Alligator mississippiensis: one gene and its partner. The protein of the gene in region 2 interacts with the protein of the main gene of each other region in a pairwise test. Links are inferred from orthologs where the notes say so. Each region holds a gene or a part of one and is shown on either strand. Other genes may lie near its edges.

Region 1 (10,206 bases), on a different chromosome or scaffold from region 2:
TTTCTTGTTTATGACTATAAGTGGAAGGGCTTTGCTATGCTGACTGGGAAAAACCCTTGTCTTATATTCAAGTAAATATGGTAATACATTTTATTAAGATGTAATATATTACATATAATTTTCTATTAAATAAATGCATTACTTTTATGAAGTATAAAGAAATGCCCGTTTCAGAACAGTAAAACAATTTTCTGACCTGCAATTTTAAATAACTGTCTTAATGTGTTATATTGATTTTTGTATAATTTTAACAGTGTTAAATGGAAAATCTCAGTCATATATATAGACAGAATATTTTACAATTTACTTAGAATTACTATATGTTGAGAATAATTATGTGTGTTATACTGTTGATTTATAGATTATGGAAGATCATCAGTTTGCCTGCTAGCCCATAATAAGACCAGCCTGGAAAAGGTCAGGGTCTGGAGCCATGGAGTGATGAACAATTATGCTGAGGTAGAGTAGGGAGGGTCTTAATCACTCATGAACATGCCTCTGTTGATCCACTGCAATTGTTTCATCAGTATTTTCCCATCCCTCAGAAAGTGTAGCTAAACTGAAATGATTTAACCCTGTTTAACTTGGAGGTAAGGTGCTGTGATTTCATTTCCAGGATAGAAGCAGACAAATCAGTGATAACAAATAAGCAGTAAATTGCTTCCTTCTCCTATTAAAATAACACAGTTCATTTATTCACATGCAAAATCACCCCCTTGGTTTTTCTACTTCTCCAAGAAGAGAGCACACGACAACAGCTCTATTACAGCTTTACAGCATAATACAGCAACAGCATCACTACACCATACAGTGTGGCATCAACTAAGGATAAGGGCGATGGCCCTGCTTTGCGCCGCAAGCAGGAAGAAACACTATGGGACACTGGTGGAAGGGACTAAAGAGATGCTTTATGTCCCTTTGTGTTCCTTTGTACCAGTGAACAGGATAGACTGCAATATAGTTATAAACATATTAGGTAGTGTATTTGAACTTGATCACTATATAGGGCCAGATCCCACCACTTTTAAGAAGTAATTGATTTGTATGGTATTGTTTATCCCTTGTACTGAATTCATAATCTCACCTATGTTTCCATTTCTTTTTTTTAGAAATATTTTTTGTTGTATTAATATTTTGAGACTTCTGGTGGAAGAATGGTATTTATTTTGTATCAAAGAAAAGACTGCTCAGTTGTGAGGAAAAGCGCATTTTTACTACTCAGCGGGCACATCTATGCATGCAATTAACGTATATACATAAACTCCGGAGCTTACTGCTCTGGAGTTTTATTGCTTCTGGGTGCACTGTTGAAATGTGCACTTGGAACCGCAGCACATTGAGCCAGGTCAGAGCAGCCCTGGCTGGCAGTGGGCTTGGGGGATCAGCCTGCCAGCTCAGGGCTGCTCCCCCTTGCTTAATGTCCTGTGGAGGGGCTAGCTGGGGAAAGAGGGTGCTTCAACATCATGCTAGCAAGTGGGCAGCCCCTGCACTGAAGTGCCCTCTTGCCTCAGCCAACCGGGGCAGTGTCTACATGTAAAAAAACTCCATGGCAGGATAGTACTTGTATTTACAAGTACTAGTCTGCTGCAGAGTTAATTAAGTTACTCCAGCCTAATGGGAGTGCATGTGTAGAAGCATGATATTTACTATGCAGCTAATTAGTCTACTGTGCAGTAAATGTCTCATGTAGATATGCCCAGTGGGTGCATCCACACATGCAATTAACATGGAGCAATACATTCTGGTACAATTCACACCAGTCAGCAGCTCCCAAGCACAGTGCAAACACGTGCACCCAGAACTGCAGCAGTTAGAGCCAAGGTACAGCAGCCCCAGACTGGCGTTGGGCAGTGGAGGGGCTGACTAGGGCACAAGGGTGCTACAGTGTAGGACTAGTGCAGCCCTCACACTAGCACTCTCATGCCCCAGTCAGCCTCAGTCACTGTCAACATGTGTGTTGAGACACCATAAATTACTCCGCTGTAGTACTTGCCCTAGACAGTACTATCTTACTGCAGCTAATTAATTTACTGATCCCTAAATATAGGAGCACATGTGGACCAGGACACTTTACTGAAGAGTTAATTAGTCAACTCCACAGTAAAGCACATGTATAAAAGCACCCAGGATGAACAAGGAGTTAATTATGTGAGCAATGTCTGATTATACCCTTAACAATTAATTTCCTTGCTTTTAGGAGCACAGGTTTTGGAAATAACTCGATATTTAAACATATGTTTTTGTTGCTTAGCAACAACTTTTTAAAAAAAAACATTAAAAAAAAGTTATAAGCAAAAGCCCTCACCACTTTCCCTTTTTTATTAGGGAAGTAAATAAAAATGCTTATTTTTACTAAATACATGAAGAAATGAAAATACCAAAAATATTATAAACAAGTAAATAATAAATGCATAAAATAAAAATAATAAATAAATATATAAATAAAAAATTATGAGAACAGTCCCTAGTTTATTAGATGAATCTTTTATTAAGCTGGTTCACAGTGGGCATGTCTACATGTTCATTAATGCACTTTTGCTAATCCGCATTAAGTTTAGTATCTTCATTGTGAAGTACTAGAAAAAGGTGCATTAGCTTATCTTAATGTGCATTAGCAACAGCACACTTCTTGTGACACTTAAATATGCATCAAAATAGGCTAATACGCATTAAAATGCATGTGTAGACACACCAAGCCACTGCTTCCTCTCTACAACAACCGTTACGACACATTGCAGGTAGACTTGCGTGCCACACTCCGGCTCCTGCTACATGCTACATATATTATATAGTTAACTGGTTAATTCCGCAATAAATTTAGACTGGCCACACATGCAAAGTAATTATCACTTACAGGGGCAGATCTAGGATTTTGAAAAAGGGGGAGAGGGGTGCAGATGCTGTGGTGCATCATATAAAACAGAACACATGTTTCTCTACAGATAAAGATAAGCAAGATGCTTCATTAATAAGGCGGGGACTACAGCTAGTTATTCACTTTGAAACTGAAGCAAAAAACAAACAAAAAACTTTGATGGCATGTGGATTATATCATATATAATGGCATGTGGCATATCATATATAATGGCATTTGTTGGCATGTGGCAATATCATATATAAACACACAACAAACAAGGAAAAAAATAATCCAAAAATGCTGCTTCATTAATCCTGGAGTCACTCATGTTAAATGCGTGTGTCTTTTTCAGATTCAGAGAACAAAATCATGCCTTCTGGAACACCCGCAGAGCGCCGCCGATGCTCCGCGGACAGCGACTTCTGCACCTGACCTAACGCGCACCCGAGTTAACATTTCCACACCTGAGTTAATGTTTTTAGCTAAAGTTAAAAAAAACCCCCAAAACTAACAGCGCACAGGGCTGTGAAACAGAAATAACCCGACTAGGAGCAGAGCTCTGCTCCCTGCCCTGTTACAAACCTGCCCCCTGTGTCCTTCTTCTGGGGACCAGCGGGCACGTGCCGCAAAAGGCAGGCGAGGCGGCGCAGGTGACAAGGAACCAATATCTGATACTGGGAAATCCCAGTCTCTTAAAAAAAACAAACAAACATGCCACAAAGAAGTGCAACAGCGCAGGCAAAACCAGAGCCTGGCCAGCCAGCGCCCCGGGAGGCCCCCAGGACCCAGGGAAGGCTGCTGGGGCTGGCCCAGCCTGCCCTACCCCACCCGGGGCAACTTGCCAGGGGGCTCACGGCTCCGTGCGGTCACCGGGCGCTGCGGGGCCCTGTCAGGAGCCGGCCCGCGCCACAGCTGCTCACCGGGCCTCCATCCTCCGCGCCGGGCGCTTCCCGCCGCGCTCCCGGCCCCGGCTCCCGCCGCCGTTACCGGGGCAACGCGAACACGCCGCGGGAGCGTCGGCGGGACGGGGGCGGGGCCTCGGCGCTGGGGGCGGGGCGCGGGAGGGGCAGCGAGGAGGACATGGAGAGGGGGTCGTGGCAGCGTTGGGGTGAGGGGTTATAGGCTGTGAGTGCACCAGGTCTGGGGCTCTCTGTCTGGAGGCGGGGTGAGGAGAGTAGGCTTGGCTGGAGACTGGGCAGTAAAGGGGCAAGTGTGTTGTCTTGCAAATATGCCAGCTCGGGCTCTGGCTGGGTTGCATGGTGGAGGCTGAAGTGGGCCCTGGGTGGTGTGAAGAGCTGGCCCTCCGGGGAAGCGGCACGCCCGGGTGCAAGGGGACATGGAAAAGACTGTGTGAGACCAGGGCAACACCGTGAAAACACAGTCAAAACTTTGCGTCCCAATAAAGGAGGCTTAATTTGTACCGTTGTGATACCTTGGTGCGGCTTGAAATCTGCGCAGACAGAGCCAGCGTGTAGGAGCGGTACCGTTTCCGTGCGGCGGGAGGTTACAGCCATGACTCTGGCCCACAGCTAGGATGAGCCGTGCTAGCCGGGCCCAGCCTGAGGTGAATTTTGTCTCGTTGAGCCCGGTGTAATTCACCCAGGGAAAAACGTTTCCTTTTGGTTTGATGAGCACGATGAGGGGAAGCGGAGACGCAAAGCTGTATGTGGAAGCGCTGTTATCGGTAGATAATACAATAGGCAGAAGGCAGGCTACAATGTAATTACCATTTTTCTTCTAAACAAGTAACTGCGCTGGTGCAAAATAACCTGAAACGGTTTTCACATTGCTATGCAAATAACTTACGGTACTTAGATGGTACTTATTTTCATGGGCTTTGATTTAATATAGTATGGCTTTTATGTGAAGGAAAAGCACTTTCTGAATTCCATGTATTTTCATTCTTAAAACAGGTTTATTTGCACTTGAATATCTGAATATCTTACATTTTCTGTCCATTGTAAGGGATTTTCTTGATTTCTACTGATTGTGCATAGGCAGGTATAGATTCATAGATGTTAGGGTCAGAAGGGACCTCAATAGATCATCGAGTCTGACCCCCTGCACAGGCAGGAAAGAGTGCTGGGTCTAGATGACCCCAGCTAGATGCATATCCAACCTGCTCTTGAAGACCCCCAGGGTAGGGGAGATCACCACCTCCCTTGGGAGCCCGTTCCAGACCCTGGCCACTCGAACTGTGAAGAAGTTCTTCCTAATGTCCAGTCTAAATCTGCTCTCTGCTAGCTTGTGGCCATTATTTCTTGTAACCCCCGGGGGCGCCTTGGTGAATAAAACCTCACCAATTCCCTTCTGTGCCCCCGTGATGAATTTATAGGCAGCCACAAGGTCGCCTCTCAACCTTCTCTTGCAGGTAGTCCTAAGTTCACTAACCTTCTCTCTAACCATGTTTTTCATGAAAAAATAATATAAAAAAAAAACAAAACCTGAAAATTAAACACAATGGTTGGTCAGATTTCTTGTTAGGCAGCGGCTCCAGCCACCCTCCCCCAACTCCCGTGCAGCCACTGTCACCCCACCCCTACGTCCAGCCAGAAACCTGTGTCTCGGGTAACTGGCACAGCGGCACTTTTAGTTCACCAGCACCACCCATTTTTCAGTTCAAATCCCTGTTAACTGGCACAAGTGGGGAATGGGCCATTTGAACTGAAAAACGGGTGCAATTAGTAACAACCAAATGGCTTTAAAAAAATCAGGAAATTTATTAGTGAAAAATTGGTAAAAACTGAGAATGCGGAACACTATTAATTAAACAATGGCTTCTTGTCTTTTTGCTGCAAACTCCCTTGGCTGTCCTGCTGGCGTGGAGGTGGGATTCATGCTGGCCTCGCTCACTGTCCCACTGTCCCCAGCCCCAGCAGCTGGCTGGCTCCTCTGGACAGCATGGGAGCTAGGCAGGTGGACAAGCATTCTCAGCCAGTGACCAGGTGTGCACTGCTGGTGGGGAAGAAAGGGAATTGGTGCTGCCTAAGTGATGCCCCCACTGGCTTCTTCCCCACTTCGCTTGAGCCCTCTGGTTCCCTGAGCCCCAGCAGCTGCCTACAGTCAGGGTTTTCTCATAGGCACCAGATGAGAATAAGGGAGGTTAATTAAATAATGAGGTCCTGCTACTTGCTTGCGTGCCCGCTGCCCAGCTGCTACCTCCCTAGTATCCCCAAGCTGTTATGCTAGCTTGGGGGATTCATGCTGGCCTCACTTGCTGTCCCAACTGGCTTATTGGGTGGCTGGCACCTCTGGCTAGTATGACAGCTGGGCACCTGGGCACGTGCACACCACTGCACTCAGCCACTCAACCAGTGGCCAGTTGTGCGCTGCTGGCAGGGAAGGGGGTGGAATGGGTAGTGCTTGAGTAAAACTCCTCCTCAGCTTTCCCCTACCCTTGGCTTGAGCCCTTAGGTTCCTTGAGTTGCCCCGGCTGCCCAGTCAGGCTTTTCCTGCACTTAGCAGACTGCTAAAGATTTTAAGAGGTAATACCAGGACAGAAAAAGGCCCAAGATTACAGGAGATCAAAAAAGCCCTGGCTGGTTTAAAAAGGAGTGCTCTCTCAGGAGAGGTGGTACTTGTTTTGGGAAATCAAACTAGTCTGATCATTGTAACCAACTGGTCACAGAATCTCAAAAGGAATAATTGCAAGTGCTTGAATTCATCTGTACCTCCTGGGTCATCCTGGTTTATACTCAAAGTACTCTAACCCTAACCTGGGACAGAGTGGGAGGGTATTGGTACATTTAGAGAAATCAGAAAACAACAAAGCATCTACATGTGCTTTTCAGTGCACTAAATAACTCCGCCATAAGGTAGTACTTATGCCAGGCAGTACTATCCGACAGCAGAGGTAATTAATTTACTGTGGCCTAATAGCATTGAATGTGTAGACGGTGATGCTTCACTGCAGAGCTAATTAGTGAACTTCACAGTCAAGTACATGTGTAGATACCCCCATAGAGATTTCAAATAGGAATACATAGTGTTAAAAACGGTTGTAGTCCTTCTGCATTCTTTGCAACAAAAGAATCATGCTGTTATTTTTCTGCAGTCAAACATGAATGACAACTAAGAGTTGACATTTCTGAATAGTGCCTTGAGCCTAATGAGGGATGCCTTAAGTATATTTAGGGGTGCCTTGAGCCTAAGCAGGTTGAGAACCACTGGGCTAGATGAACTGTTGGTCTAATTTAGTATGGCACTTCTTATGCTCTTATATTCTTATGAGGTCGGTTCTCTTGTCATTCTATTACTTTATTACTTTCTATTATCAATACTACTATTATTTTTACGGCTGTTTTGCCACCATGAATATAGCACACTCATCACTAATCCATGTTACACTATTCCAACTGTTTGCCCATTCCTAGGACTAAATCTTATATTTTAATTTTAAGCAAATAGGCCGTGTTCACACGAATGTGGATGTTTGGTTCCCTGGGGACAATTAGCAGCAGTGTACCTTGTGCCACTGCTAGTTGTCCACAGGGAATGCCTGTGCCACATGCCCTCTGGTGCATGGCAGGTTGCCCTGGGTGGGATAGGGGAGACTGGGGCCAGCACTGGGCTGCCCCAACAGCCTTACCTGGGATTCTGGGGGCTCCTGGGGCTGCAGTAGTGATGATCCTGCTGCTCAGAGCCTGGCCAGTAGCTAGAGTGTGGCTTCGGCCAGCCAGGCTCTGGTTTTCAGTGGTGTGCACTGCCCCTGCATGCACCATTCTGCTTTTCTATGGCGTAGGATTTTTTTGACCCCTGGATATCAAGGGGTCACCCCCATCCCCACCTGCTCCCTTGCAATGCAGAGAACAGCTGAACATGCGGTATGTGGTGTTGCAGACGTGTTTGAAGTTGTTTTCCACAATTCTGCATCCCTAATCCTATCCCTAAAGAAGTTCCATTTACTTTTCCCTTTAGGTGTGTTTTTGAATAAGAATTTTAAACATATTTAAATGATAGACATTAAAAACTACATAATCACCTGAGCTTTGCCTCAGAGGTATCTACATTTCAGTGGCTGAGTGAATTGATTTTGCTCTATACTGTTTATAAAATGTTTGGGGATACTTTGGTATGAAAGCTGCTGCATAAATGTAAGATGATGTTAGAGTTTCACTTTTACCAGAAAATACCTAGAGCTGCGGATATATTAAGGCAATATTTTCAGGTTCCCCTATCCCCAGTAATTTGAACTGGGAACACAATGGAAAAATATATGGACTGAAAAATAGTTTTTCCTCACACGGTCATAGCATTACAAAAAAACATTTGATTCATACCCCAGGGCCATTATATGCTTGTAATGATTTTTGTGTCCAGTCTCAATTTTAATGACCAAAATAGTGGGGCTGTCCTTGAGAGATTTTTTGACAAATGGATCTCACTTAAAAAAAGATATTTTTGTGTTTTTCCTGCAGCACTTTCCTTATCTCAGTTCCATCTTGTTAGTCTTAGGAGAACTCCCTGGTTCATCTCTAATAAATTCCTTTCTCTTCTTAGTGTTTAGGGTCTAGAAATATCAGTAGCCGTTTCTGGAAAGAGGACACCCTATATAGGCTAGAGTCTAAATAGAAATACACTTTATTACATTTTATAGAGGAAGAGGATGTTTTTGTAAATTTTGGGAGATCTGGGCTCAGTCCGGAGCTCTGACACAGACTTCATATGTAATCTTGGGCAAATCGTTAATTATATTTCCGCTAGTAGAAACTGGCATAAAACCTTATTTAGTCAAATAGAAGATTATAAGACAACGCCCCCCTCCCCCCCAAAATAGATTCTATAGATGTAAAATATATAAAATAGTTATAATTGTTTAGTTATAGAATCTAATTATTGGAAGTTTGCCTTGAATTTGTCCCCCTTCCACTGCAACAGCAGGGAAAAGAAATCTGGAGGGTGACGGGAAAAGAAATCTGGAGGGTGAGGTACTCCCTTTTCTCTCTGCTTCCCCCCAACTGTTTCCCCTAGCAGCCCCTTGCCCCTCTTTACTGTCAAACCACACTCTCCCTGAGCTCGTGGAAGTGAGGAACAAACTTGGAAACAATAACCTTGACTTTAAACATGACTATGATAATTTGTATATAATAACCATGCATGTACTTCATCTAGAATTGATACATGTTGAGTGCATCTACATGAAGTGTTTACTGTTGAGTAGACTAATTAGCTCTGCAGTAAACCTCTTGGCTTCTAAATGTGTGGTCCTATGACTCTGGAGGAAACTAATAAATTCTGCAGCAGGGTAGTACTTGTAAATACAAGTACTATCGTTCTGCAGAGTTTTTTTATGCCACAGCACTGAATGTTTAGATGCTGCCCCAGCTGGCTGGGGCACGAGGGTGCTTCATAGGTTTCATAGATGCTAGGGTCGGAAGAGACCTCAATAGATCATCGAGTCCGACCCCCTGCATAGGCAGGAAAGAGTGCTGGGTCTAGATGACCCCAGCTAGATGCTTATCTAACCTCCTCTTGAAGACCCCCAGGGTAGGGGAGAGCACCACCTCCCTTGGGAGCCCATTCCAGACCTTGGCCACTCTAACTGTGAAGAATTTCTTCCTAATGTCCAGTCTAAATCTGCTCTCTGCTAGCTTGTGGCCATTATTTCTTGTAACCCCCGGGGGTGCCTTGGTGAATAAAACCTCACCAATTCCCTTCTGTGCCCCCGTGATGAACTTATAGGCAGCCACAAGGTCACCTCTCAACCTTCTTTTGCGGAGGCTGAAGAGGTCCAGGTGCCCCAGTCTCTCCTCATAGGGCTTGGCCTGCAAGCCCTTAACCATACGAGTGGCCCTTCTCTGGACCCTCTCCAGGTTATCCACATCCCTCTTGAAGTGTGGCGCCCAAAACTGCACGCAGTATTCCAACTGCGGTCTGACCAGCGCCCGATAGAGGGGAAGTATCACCTCCTTGGATCTATTCGTCATGCATCTGCTGATGCACGATAAAGTGCCATTAGCTTTTCTGATGGCTTCGTCACACTGCCGACTCATGTTCATCTTGGAGTCCACTAGGACTCCAAGATCCCTTTCCGCTTCTGTTCCACCAAGCAGGTCATTTCCTAGGCACTAGGTGTGCTGGACATTTTTCCTCCCTAGGTGCAGCACTTTGCATTTCTCCTTGTTGAATTGCATTCTGTTGTTTTCTGGCCATATGTCCAACCTGTCCAGGTCTACTTGTAGTTGTTCCCTGCCCTCTGGTGGGTCCACTTCTCCCCACAGTTTTGTGTCATTTGCAAACTTGGACAGAGTACACTTCACTCCCTCGTCCAAGTCGCTGATGAAGATATTGAAGAGTATCGGTCCAAGGACCAAGCCCTGCAGGATCCCACTGCCCACACACTTCCAGGT
Region 2 (9,998 bases):
TGAGTAGCACCTTTGTATATTTGCCATAGGCTGGAGAGCTGGAACTTTGGCTAGGATCAGCTGGGTTATGACCTTTAGTGGTATGTTTCCACAAAATGTATGTATTTCAAGTTTGAAGTTGAAGTGAACTGTAAAAATGATGGCAGTATTTGGGATGCTAGTATGGTGAGGTGTTCATTTACACTGCTGTGGGAGATGCCAGCTATTGCTAGTCAACTCTAAGAACTGAAATATTGTGATCCAGCCTTTTAAATCATGAGATTCTTTCAAAAAAAAAAAAAAAAAAAGAAGGTACTTTGCTTTCTGAAATTATCACCTTTAAGTTATGTTTTCATGCATTTCTTCAACCATGAGGGCTAGAAATAACCTTCTTAAATCTAAGATTTGTCCTTCTCTACTTATATCTTAGGGCATCACTTTTCTCCAGAAGCTGGGGCTTTAGATTAAAAGAATAAAAATCATGAGAGTTGGCCACACTTAGCCTCTGCTCACATTGTAGAGAAGGGAAGAGACTGGAGAAGGACAAAGGAAAAGATGAAATTTATTTTTACACCCTGCCTGCTTCTCACAGGATAATCCCCGACCAAATCTTTTAATTACCAAGTACTTGGTTGCATTCAGCCACGTGGCTCTTCGTCTGCATTCCTTTCATTTTGAGTACAGGAGAAGAGAAACATGTTTTTGTCCAGTGGGTCCTGCCTTTCTCCACTCCCTCCCAGTGAATAGCATCGAGTGCCTAGATTCAAATCACCATCATTGCTAGCCAAACCCTTAAAATGCAAGTGGTTATAAAATATGCTTTGAGAAATGTTTTATGTCTAGTTGAGAGAGGAGCATTTCAAAGGAAAGCACAGTACCATATCTGGGTGGAAAAATCAAATGCACATACAGCCTCACAGTTGTTTGCCTCAAGTTGGCAAATAAGCCTTGCCTTTTCCTTTGCTCCTGCTGCCAAGATGGTTAGTGTGAGAAGGAGCTGGGTTACTGCTGAGGCAGCACAAAGCCCCAAAAAGCACTGAACCTCATTCAGTCACTTTGGCTAAGTACAGACAGTCAAAAAGCCTGAGGCTGAATTGATTCAGTCTTTGCAGGGTAGTCTAAACTGCAAAGATAGAACCAATAAACAAATGAACAGACATTCACTTTTGATTCAGGAAATGCAGCCACATGTCTGCAGTGGCTCAAGTCAGAAGCCAGGGGGTGCTACAGCATGGCTCTCTGGCACATAGGTAGCATGGGCTGTGTGTTCACTTCTTCTTCCTGCTGCCCCCGAGGTCTCTGGGATTTGCAGTCCAGAATCACAGCAGCAGGACTCTGCAGGGTTGCTTATCACTTCCTCTTCCAGGTGTCTCTGGGATTTGTAGTCCAGTTACAGCCAACAGTAAGAAGGGCAGGGCAGCTCTGTACTCGGCAGAAGGGAAGTTTAACTCCCCTCCCTGCCCCCAGGGGTTTACCTTCAGGGGCCAGTGAGCCAGCCCTCACTGCTCCAGCTAGGGAGCAGGGGGCAGGGCAAACCCTGCTCTCTGAAGCAGACAGCCAAGCCCAGCCCAGGGCTGCAAAATACTGGGATGCTGGGGGACTCTGACTTAACTTGAACCATGCTGATTCTGGTAAAGACAGCAATGATGAGGCACAGGAGAACCAGGTCAACTGTATGCTGATGGGCAGGGCTGTCTCGGGGGGGCAAATCAGGGCAACCACCCCAGGACCTGTGCTTTGGGGGGCCCTGCAGAGCTGGGCAGAGCGGCAGCTCCCCACCCACCTGCTCGCTATCCCCCACCCTGAACTGCTGATGCCGGCAGTGTCTTTGGGCCTGGGGCTCATGGGATCGGAGCGGGAGCAGGGCCCCACATGGCCTGATTTGCCCCAGGCCCTGCACCTTGCTTGGGTCAGCTCTGCTGATGGGTATGGTTTTGAGGCTGGATTCATCATGGCTGACTGAAAGCAGCTGCAGGGCAGGTGTGTGGATCCCATAGGGAATTTGCCTGGTACAGGAGCTCCTGACTCCAGGCACGGAGCCAGCTTTCTCAGCTCTGCACAGTCCTATGCCAAAGTCCTAGAAGGTGAGGGACAGTGTTGAGTGGTAGACTAGAAGCAGGAAGGAGGCTGGAAGGCAGGAGTAAGAATTACCTACATTGCAGCAGTTCTCTTTTATTGTAAACTCCCCTGGGGTCAATGCAGCAGGGACATGATACAGGGCTGCCCTATACAAGGAGCTGCATTGGCTCTTGCAGCCACTGAGCAAGGGAACTAAAAGTAAGCTTGGCTCTGCCCTGCAGCAGAGAGAAAATCTATCCTGGTTGTTCAAAAAAAGAACAAATGTTCTCTTTGCCCTTTCAGGGCACATGGCTATATGTCTTTTCTCTCTTCGTTTTCCTCAGTGCCTTTTCCACTGGTGTCCATTGTACTTCTCAACAGCAAAAGTTAAAAGGGAGAAGAGGAAGGGTGGGAACCACATTCCTCTAAGGCAGGGGTGGGCAAAATGCGGCCCGAGGGCTGGATGCAGCCCACCAAGCCATTCTATCCGGCCCACAGGGCCCCTAAAAAATTTAGAAAATTAATATTTATCTGCCCTGGGTTGCCTGTCATGTGGCCCGCGATGGCTTGCTAAAACTCAGTAAGAGGCCCTCTGTCCAAAATAATTGCCCACCCCTGCTCTAAGGTCAGATTTATGCTATAAACTTTTGCTATGTTGGTCAGGAGTCTGATGAGATCTGATTTGTGACCAAATTGCCACACTACAAGGGCAAGTGTAGATGCAGTTATACTGGTAAAACTGGATTTTACCAACAGCTTATTTCTCTTTCTGGAAGGGTAAGGAGCTATAAACTAAGCCATCAAAAAGCATGGTTTTGCACATGGGTGACTGGTGCCTCCTGAGTTTGGTAGGGGCACCAGCAAGCTGATCACTGGTGGCAAAACTGGAAGTGTTGCTGGCACTTTTCTCAGTGCCCCAACTCCCCGGCTGGCACCAATCTCCCAATCTTGGGGGGGACACCAGCTGGTGCGTTTCTTGGCGCCCCCACTCCCCAGTCAGTGAGGGCCAATCTTAGGGGTTGCATATGCTTCCTCGTGTTCCCCCTACACATTGCCTATGAGTATAAGCTGTGTCAGATATACTATCCCAGCAAAGCAGGATAGTTATACTGGCAAAGTTAGCTAAAAGTAGACCTGCCTTTAGTAAATTACTAGTTCCAGGGATTTTTTTCTAAGCCACCTGCAATGCATTACTTATGTTGTAATTGTAGGAAGAAACTACATGAATGTTATTTTAAAGTCACTTTTTGCCCCTCTACAAGCAAATGTAGAACTAGTAATTTATTACTCCTGCAATTTGTGGAAAAGGGAAGGACTAGTATGTGGTTAAAGTATAGGACTGGGAATAGGCTCTTTGGATTTTACTTTCAACTCTGCTATAAACATGTGATGACACATGCATCACTATTCCCCTTTCTTTTGCATTTGCTTCCCCATCTGAATCTATAAAATAGGTATTTGGTCTTGCTTAAGGTTGGCAAAATGCCTTGAGATTCTCAGATCTAAGGTGCCATCGATGTGCAAAGTATTGCAATGTATTGGGTCATTGTCAAGTAAAAAGTATACTGTGTTAAAAATCCCTCATCTGTTTTACTTACTAATTTGAGATTGTGAAAAATTCAGATGCTTGGACTAGGGTTGGCAAGATGGTCATTTGACTGATTAAACATTGTCAACTGACCAGTCAACTGACTACATATTTTTGACCCATCAAAGATTATAGCAATTTTACATCCCCCCCCCACACTTTTGTAGCTTTTTTGACAGAAATATGATTTTTTACAATTGGATCTTTTTTTACACATTTCTTAATGGAAAATTTGTGCATTTCTGTGTGTTATTTGGACCTATTAGCAATTTTTTTTACAATTTTTGACTGATATTTGACTGGTCAGTTGACTGAACTTTATTTGATCCGTCAAATACCCACCCTACCATGCATGGCTATCCTGAGTAAGTAAAACAGTTGACAGGGAGTAAGGCATACCTGTTTGTTTTGTTGGTTTTTTGCTCTCTTGGGGAATAAAGAGAGTGAAAGGAATAAGACTTGTGGGGAAATACATAGTTTCGCGGGAGCTCTGCAGGTTGAGTTTTGCTGGGAGCTGTTGACTTCAGCAGATTTGACTTTTGGAATGTGCATCAGAGAGGCACTTAGTGACAGGCAATGGGGTTTTCTGGCTACCTGTATAAAGCAAAATGATAATCAAATGCAGAGTAGCCTACCCTGGCTGCCGCACACTGGAACCATAGAACCCATGGGCAGATCTAGAATTTTGGAAAGCGAGGCAGAGATGGTGACATTCACCATAACATATAAAACAACACACATTTTCTTCCAGGTAAAAATATACAGGAAGCTCTACTAATATGCTGAAGGCCCCTAGGGCTATGTTATTTAGTTTAAGAATGAACAAAAAACACACAACTTCATTGGAAGGAGCCCAGAACCATCTGCAGTGCTGTGGAAAAGGGGCTTCCTTATATGGAGCAGCTAACAGACAAGGGAATAAAAGGATGGCTTGATGGGTGGAACATCAAGACAATTAAAAAGAGAGGGTGGTTAACACTGGGCTGAGAAGGGATCAGGTAGATAATGAGCCAGGAAGTCAACTGGCTCCCTCAGCACCAGGCGACTAGAAATGCTGCTGCCACTGCCAGGCAGCTGGTTTTAAACTCTGGGTTTAGCAGGAATCAAGGGAGGGGGGGGAGTTGCAACTGCACCAGTGCAGCACCCTCCTAGACCCCCAGACGCATAGGGTTGGCAGGGACCTGTGGGGGTCCTCTGAGCTGATGACAAGGAGTATTTTAAAATAATAAAAAAACAATAAGGATACTCCCACAGACAATCTTTCTTTGAGAGGTAAAGCATTTAGTAACAGCTCTCTGCCTTGGGTGTCGAGCTGCAGGAACAGAAGGAGCTCGAAGCTGCCTCCGGGAGGCCGCTCTTCAGTTTTCACTCGGTCTTCGGCTAGGGAAGAGCAAGGCTGAAGGCAGCCATGTTTCCGCTGCAGACCCAAGGGCCCTAGCGCTGGGCTTTTGTTTTTTAGCACTGAGCGTGGCTTCCTTTTTGAGACCTCTGTGTTCCCCTTGTGCCTCGCCTTTGCCCCCCTCGCAGCGCGGGGCGCCTCTGAAGGGGTCTCGGGGCACCCGCGGGCGAGGGTATTGCGCGGGGGGTCTTTCAAGTAACACTGGTGCATTATTAGAGCCTCTCAGCACGTGCGGCTGCGGCCGGGGCACAGCACAGCGGAGGCAGGAGGGCGCGTGCCGCGGTGGCCGCCAACGCCCAGGGACACGGGACCGGCAGTGGCCCCGGCCCGGCCCGGCCCGGCCCAGTCCGCCCGGGGGTGCGGTGCGGTGCGGTGCGGTGCGGCCGAGCGGTGGCTGCGCTGCGAGAAGCGGGTCGCCATAGCAACCGGCAGCGACTGGAGTCAGTCGTTTCCTGTGGAAAAGTGTCCGTGGGGGGAGCCGTCCCGCCCCGCCCCGCCCGGCTCGGCGCGGCGCTGACAGCGGGAGAAGGGGGCGGCTACGGCCGGGCGACCCGCGCGGCATCAGCCGCCGCCTCCCGCCCCAGCCGCGGCGGCGGGATCGCGGCCGCCGCCCTGCTCTCCGGCCCGGCCCCGCGGGCACAGGTCGGTGCGGTGCGGTGCGGTGCGGTGCGGGACGGGACGGGGCGGGGCGGTAGCAGGGGCGTTCCCCGCCCGGACAGTTCTCCTCATAGCCACTGCGCTGCCCCTGCCCGGGAGGTGTGGCAGTGCCTAGGTACCCGCCAGCCTGGCTTGGTCTCCGCTAGTTTGGGAGGCCTGGAGCAGAGCGCAGGGCTGCGGTGACCCCTTCTTTCATCTGATGCCCTTCATGCCGCCCCCCCCTTGCCAAGCCCCAGGCCTGTTTCTGTAGCTGTTCTGTTTGGCGGGTTCATCTTCAGGGCCGGGTCCCTCCTTCCACCCAGCGTTTGGGTTTAGAGGCAGAACAAAGCCTCCAGGCAGGGGCTGGGGGCACTAGGTGTCCAGGGCTGGTTCCCGGGTGCTTTCTCCACAGGGGACCCAGTGGGCAAGCTGCACAGGACACAGGTGGGCATGCTGGCAGTGTGCATTGATCCTGAGCCATCCCACTGAGGCCGGATACGAGTAAACCCTGCCAGTCCTTCATCATCAACCAGAGAATTTAAAAAGGGCTGTGCAGTGGGTGAAGCAGTCCTTCCCCGGCTGAGCGAGACTGGGGGCTAAAGAGGTCTGAGCATCTAAGGGCAGCTGCACCTCTTCGTGGATAAGACTTCTCTCTCGCTGACTCCCCTGCCTTCTTCCAACCTCTGTAGTGTTCGTTCTGTAGCCTGGCCTGATAATGCTCTGATTAAAGACACATAAGGCCAGCACCAAGTCAGATCACCAGCATCAAATGAGATTTAAATTGCAAGCATGTAAATTAGAGGGTATTCTGCTGAAGAGGAAACCAGTGCAAGATGCTCTCTCTGAATTACAACTGCATATTTTCAGTTGATTTATTTGTATTGTGATAACTCTTGAAGGCCTCTGCCAGGATCACAGCATAGTGTGGTAGAGAGCAGAGCTGGTAAAAGCCTGATGTTTGTTTCTTGGTCCTTGTGCTTGGTGATGCGCAGATTCGTAGGAAGGCTGCTGGTTCATCTTGTCATAGGAACACGCTCCCTCCCCAACCCAGGGGCAGTGGATGATCTCTGCCCTGAATAACTCATGATCTAAGAAGTTATTAAACCAAATTTTAGTAGTGAAAGAAGCTGGAAATAAGAGAGGAATTACTGGGTGAATGATGAGCACAGTGTGTGTAAAATCTGTTTTTCAGTATTTCTTGTAATAAATCCCTAGCATTAAATCTGGATAGTTGCAAGATGGTTTGGGGTTAGGGTTGAGTTTGCGGCACTGCTGTTTGCATAACCTGCTGGAGTATTTCACCTTGGACTGTTACCTTTCTTCAGCTGGTATTTGATCCAGTACTGACCCCAAACCTTTCTTTGCACTGATTCCCAGGCCCTGAGGTGCCGGTCTGCTTGGGAACCCTATGCCATGATTACATCTTGCGAGACCTGGGATTGGAGACTCAATCTCTCAGAGAGAGACCTGTGGAAAAAGGACCTCCCTCTAGACGGTGAGTATCATGCAATGGCTCATCCTCCTTCCATGCCCGGCCCACTCCTGCTCCTGCCCTTTCTCACACTCTGGCAAGGAGAGACTTGAAAACCAGTGAGTCCACATTTCTGACATTGTTTTTCAGATGTCAGAGATGAAACTAAGATTTGGGGAAACTGATTCCCATACAAATGTAGGCTGTTAGGTAACAACAGGATTCAGCTGATAAAGGTGCTGCTGTGCTGAGGGTGCTGCCCTCTCTTCTAATGAGAAGCCTTGGGAGAAAAGTTAAATTTTAACACGTGAAAGAAATGATTATCTGTGATTTGTACAACAAAAAAACACGTGGCTTCTGGTCGTCCTTCATCTCGGCTCCTTGGAAGGGTGTGTTGTCTCCCAACCGCATATAAACCAAATAGGTAAGTTTAGTTTTTGTGTGGTGTTCCACAGGGACTGAAATGTTTTCAAAAAGCAGCTGAAAGAACTGAAAGCTGCTTGTTGAAACCTGCCGCTGCTTGTCTGGGGTTCCACACAGCTAGCGCTGTTGTCTCATGCTAGTCTCGGACTTCAGGGTCACTGTGGGGCTAAATGCTAATGCCAGGCTTCTGGAAGAGATATTTTTGATGGGAAACTTACTGTTTGCTCTGATATTTTAAGTTCTTAAGCTTTGGCAGTAGCTTATCTGACAGTTGTACCTGCTTTGATATAGAAAGGTTGTTTTAACTCTTGCCGACCATAAAAATATGTTTGAGAGGCAGGGCAGTTGCGGGGGTGGAGGGGTTGAAAATGCATTTTTTCTCATTTCCTCACTGACCTTTCTGCATTCCTTTGGTATTAGGTGGACAGGATGGTGGGTATTGAGGAACAGAAAGGTGGAGAGTGGATGTTGTGTGTGATTAAAATCTGGCTATGTCCTGCTTGGTGCTGAAATAATAAGGCATACTATTTGCATATACACATCACTAGTCATCCTACGATCCACAAGTTCTTTTGAAAACATTAGTTCTTTTTCACTGTATGAAATATCATTGTTCCTATATACAGACAGTTAAAGAAACATAGTGAGAGATGAAGTGATTTAGCAGAAATTATCCATCTGTCTCTGCCCTTACAGCTTTTGTCACCTTTAGTCTCTTGAGTGCTTTTCAATTACAGTATTTAAAAACCAAAACTGTAACAAGAGTCTCTCTCTGTTACTTTCCCAATTACAAAATAAATTACTTTGATTAATTGATGGTAGGGGGTTGTGTATTCATGATGGAGATGAACTGATCAAGGAAAATCTAAATCAAAGAGAGAGTTTTGCATTTAGTTCTGAACGTTTTATTTATTTATTTTCCAGAAACTGGTTCCGAAGTGCAGGTTTTGTTCCTCTCACTTACAAGTTTTCCTCTGCTGGCTGGTGTATTAATTGTCTGAATGCGAAATAGCTGTCATAGATAGTGATGGTCACAGAGGGAGAAGTATTCTCTTGGGTAGCTTGTGCCACTTTATGGCGATAAAGTTGAGGTCATGATGATTTGTGTTACTTAAGCAGAGAGTTGCTATGATTTTGTAGCAGCTAAAGCTTTTTCAGGGCCTTGGGCTGCATTTTTAGTTGGAATGATTTATAATCAAGCCCAGACGTCACTGGCGAGTAGTTCGCCATGACCAACCCTTAGCATGGACTATAATCTCTTGTCCACTTGGAGGTGTCTTTTGCAAATTTAATGATTCATGTATCCAGTACTACTGAGCAATACCCCAAAGCATCACCTTACAGTTTTGGGATAATAGATGCTTGTGAGGACTGGGGATGATGCTGACAAGACAGGTTCTTTAAGGTGCTTCCGTCTTACCAGCATCATTTCAGCCTTCCTTGGGATCATCCCAGCTGAGCATTGAGAGAGCTGTTAGATGATCCTTCTTCCTTCCCCACCCCCAAGGGAGCTTTTCTCTTAATTTGGGCTAACAGTGAACAGAACAGTGATTTTGCTTCTAGATTGTCCTGTCTGGTTCTGGTTCTGTGGTGAACAGAGCATGTGGTATGAGGTAAGGTGTGGGAAGATGAGGTAAGCCAGCACTTCTGTACCTGCACTCTTAATCAGACAGGTTTCTGTGATACAGATCAGGTCAGACAACTTATTTTGGGTAAGATCTTTGATAGTGAAGTCACATGGCAGGCAAATGGCAAAAATAGGAGGAGAACACAGGAGTCCTGACTGCCAGTCTCTTTGTATGAGGTTTTGCCTGAATAGAAAAGTTCAAGTGTCTCCCAGGCTTGTGGATTGAGAGTTTGTATAAATCAGTCTTGGATTCTTTACAGGTTTCTACATAAAGATACAAGGACAGATTGTAGAAGCTACAGTTTTAATTCCCATAACATGTATGGATTTGCTAACAGATTTTACTTGCCCTAGAGGACTCAGGTCTCTCATTAGCATAGCAAACATTTCAATAATGCTTACTTCTTGAATAGTACTTTACATTTTCTAAACAACATGCTAAGAAGAAAGAATGGGTCTTTTGTGAAATGAATATGACAGCACTCTTGCTCACTCAGCTGAAGCTGTATCTTTGCTTAATTTTTCTCAGCCCTTTTCCTCCCCTCCCCCTACTTTAGTATGTGTGAGAGACCTGTGGCTGAGATTTCATACAAAGCTCTCAGTTTCTCCATTAACCTGAAGTATTTTGGGCAGCAGGAGTTGAAAGCTTCACTGTAGTTGTTAATGACTTTGGCTGTGAGCCAGAGAAGGGAGGGGGCTGAATACCAGCTTGAGTTACTAGCATGATGATGGATGACATGGAACAGAATGGGGGGGGGGGGGGGGGCAGAGACAGCTTGAATGAGACCAGATCCCTAAAGGAGACCCTCCTCACTTT

Evidence for each region.
Region 1: the proteins of KIFC3 (region 2) and DEUP1 interact in binary tests that used the Homo sapiens proteins (3 or more experiments, as listed by UniProt). The two-hybrid records come from large-scale screens. The link is inferred for Alligator mississippiensis from reciprocal best matches to the Homo sapiens genes KIFC3 and DEUP1.

What each region holds. Positions count from the first base shown.
Region 1 is NC_081824.1:448,090,903-448,101,108, reverse strand, and holds the start of DEUP1 (deuterosome assembly protein 1), read right to left. Parts: upstream 3,840-10,206; 5' UTR 3,789-3,839; coding exon of another isoform or gene 3,778-3,788; intron 1-3,777. UniProt on the Homo sapiens protein: Key structural component of the deuterosome, a structure that promotes de novo centriole amplification in multiciliated cells.
Region 2 is NC_081833.1:38,414,107-38,424,104, reverse strand, and holds the start of KIFC3 (kinesin-like protein KIFC3), read left to right. Parts: upstream 1-5,550; 5' UTR 5,551-5,666; intron 5,667-7,037; 5' UTR 7,038-7,155; intron 7,156-7,234; exon of another isoform or gene 7,235-7,555; intron 7,556-9,998. UniProt on the Homo sapiens protein: Minus-end microtubule-dependent motor protein. Involved in apically targeted transport. Required for zonula adherens maintenance.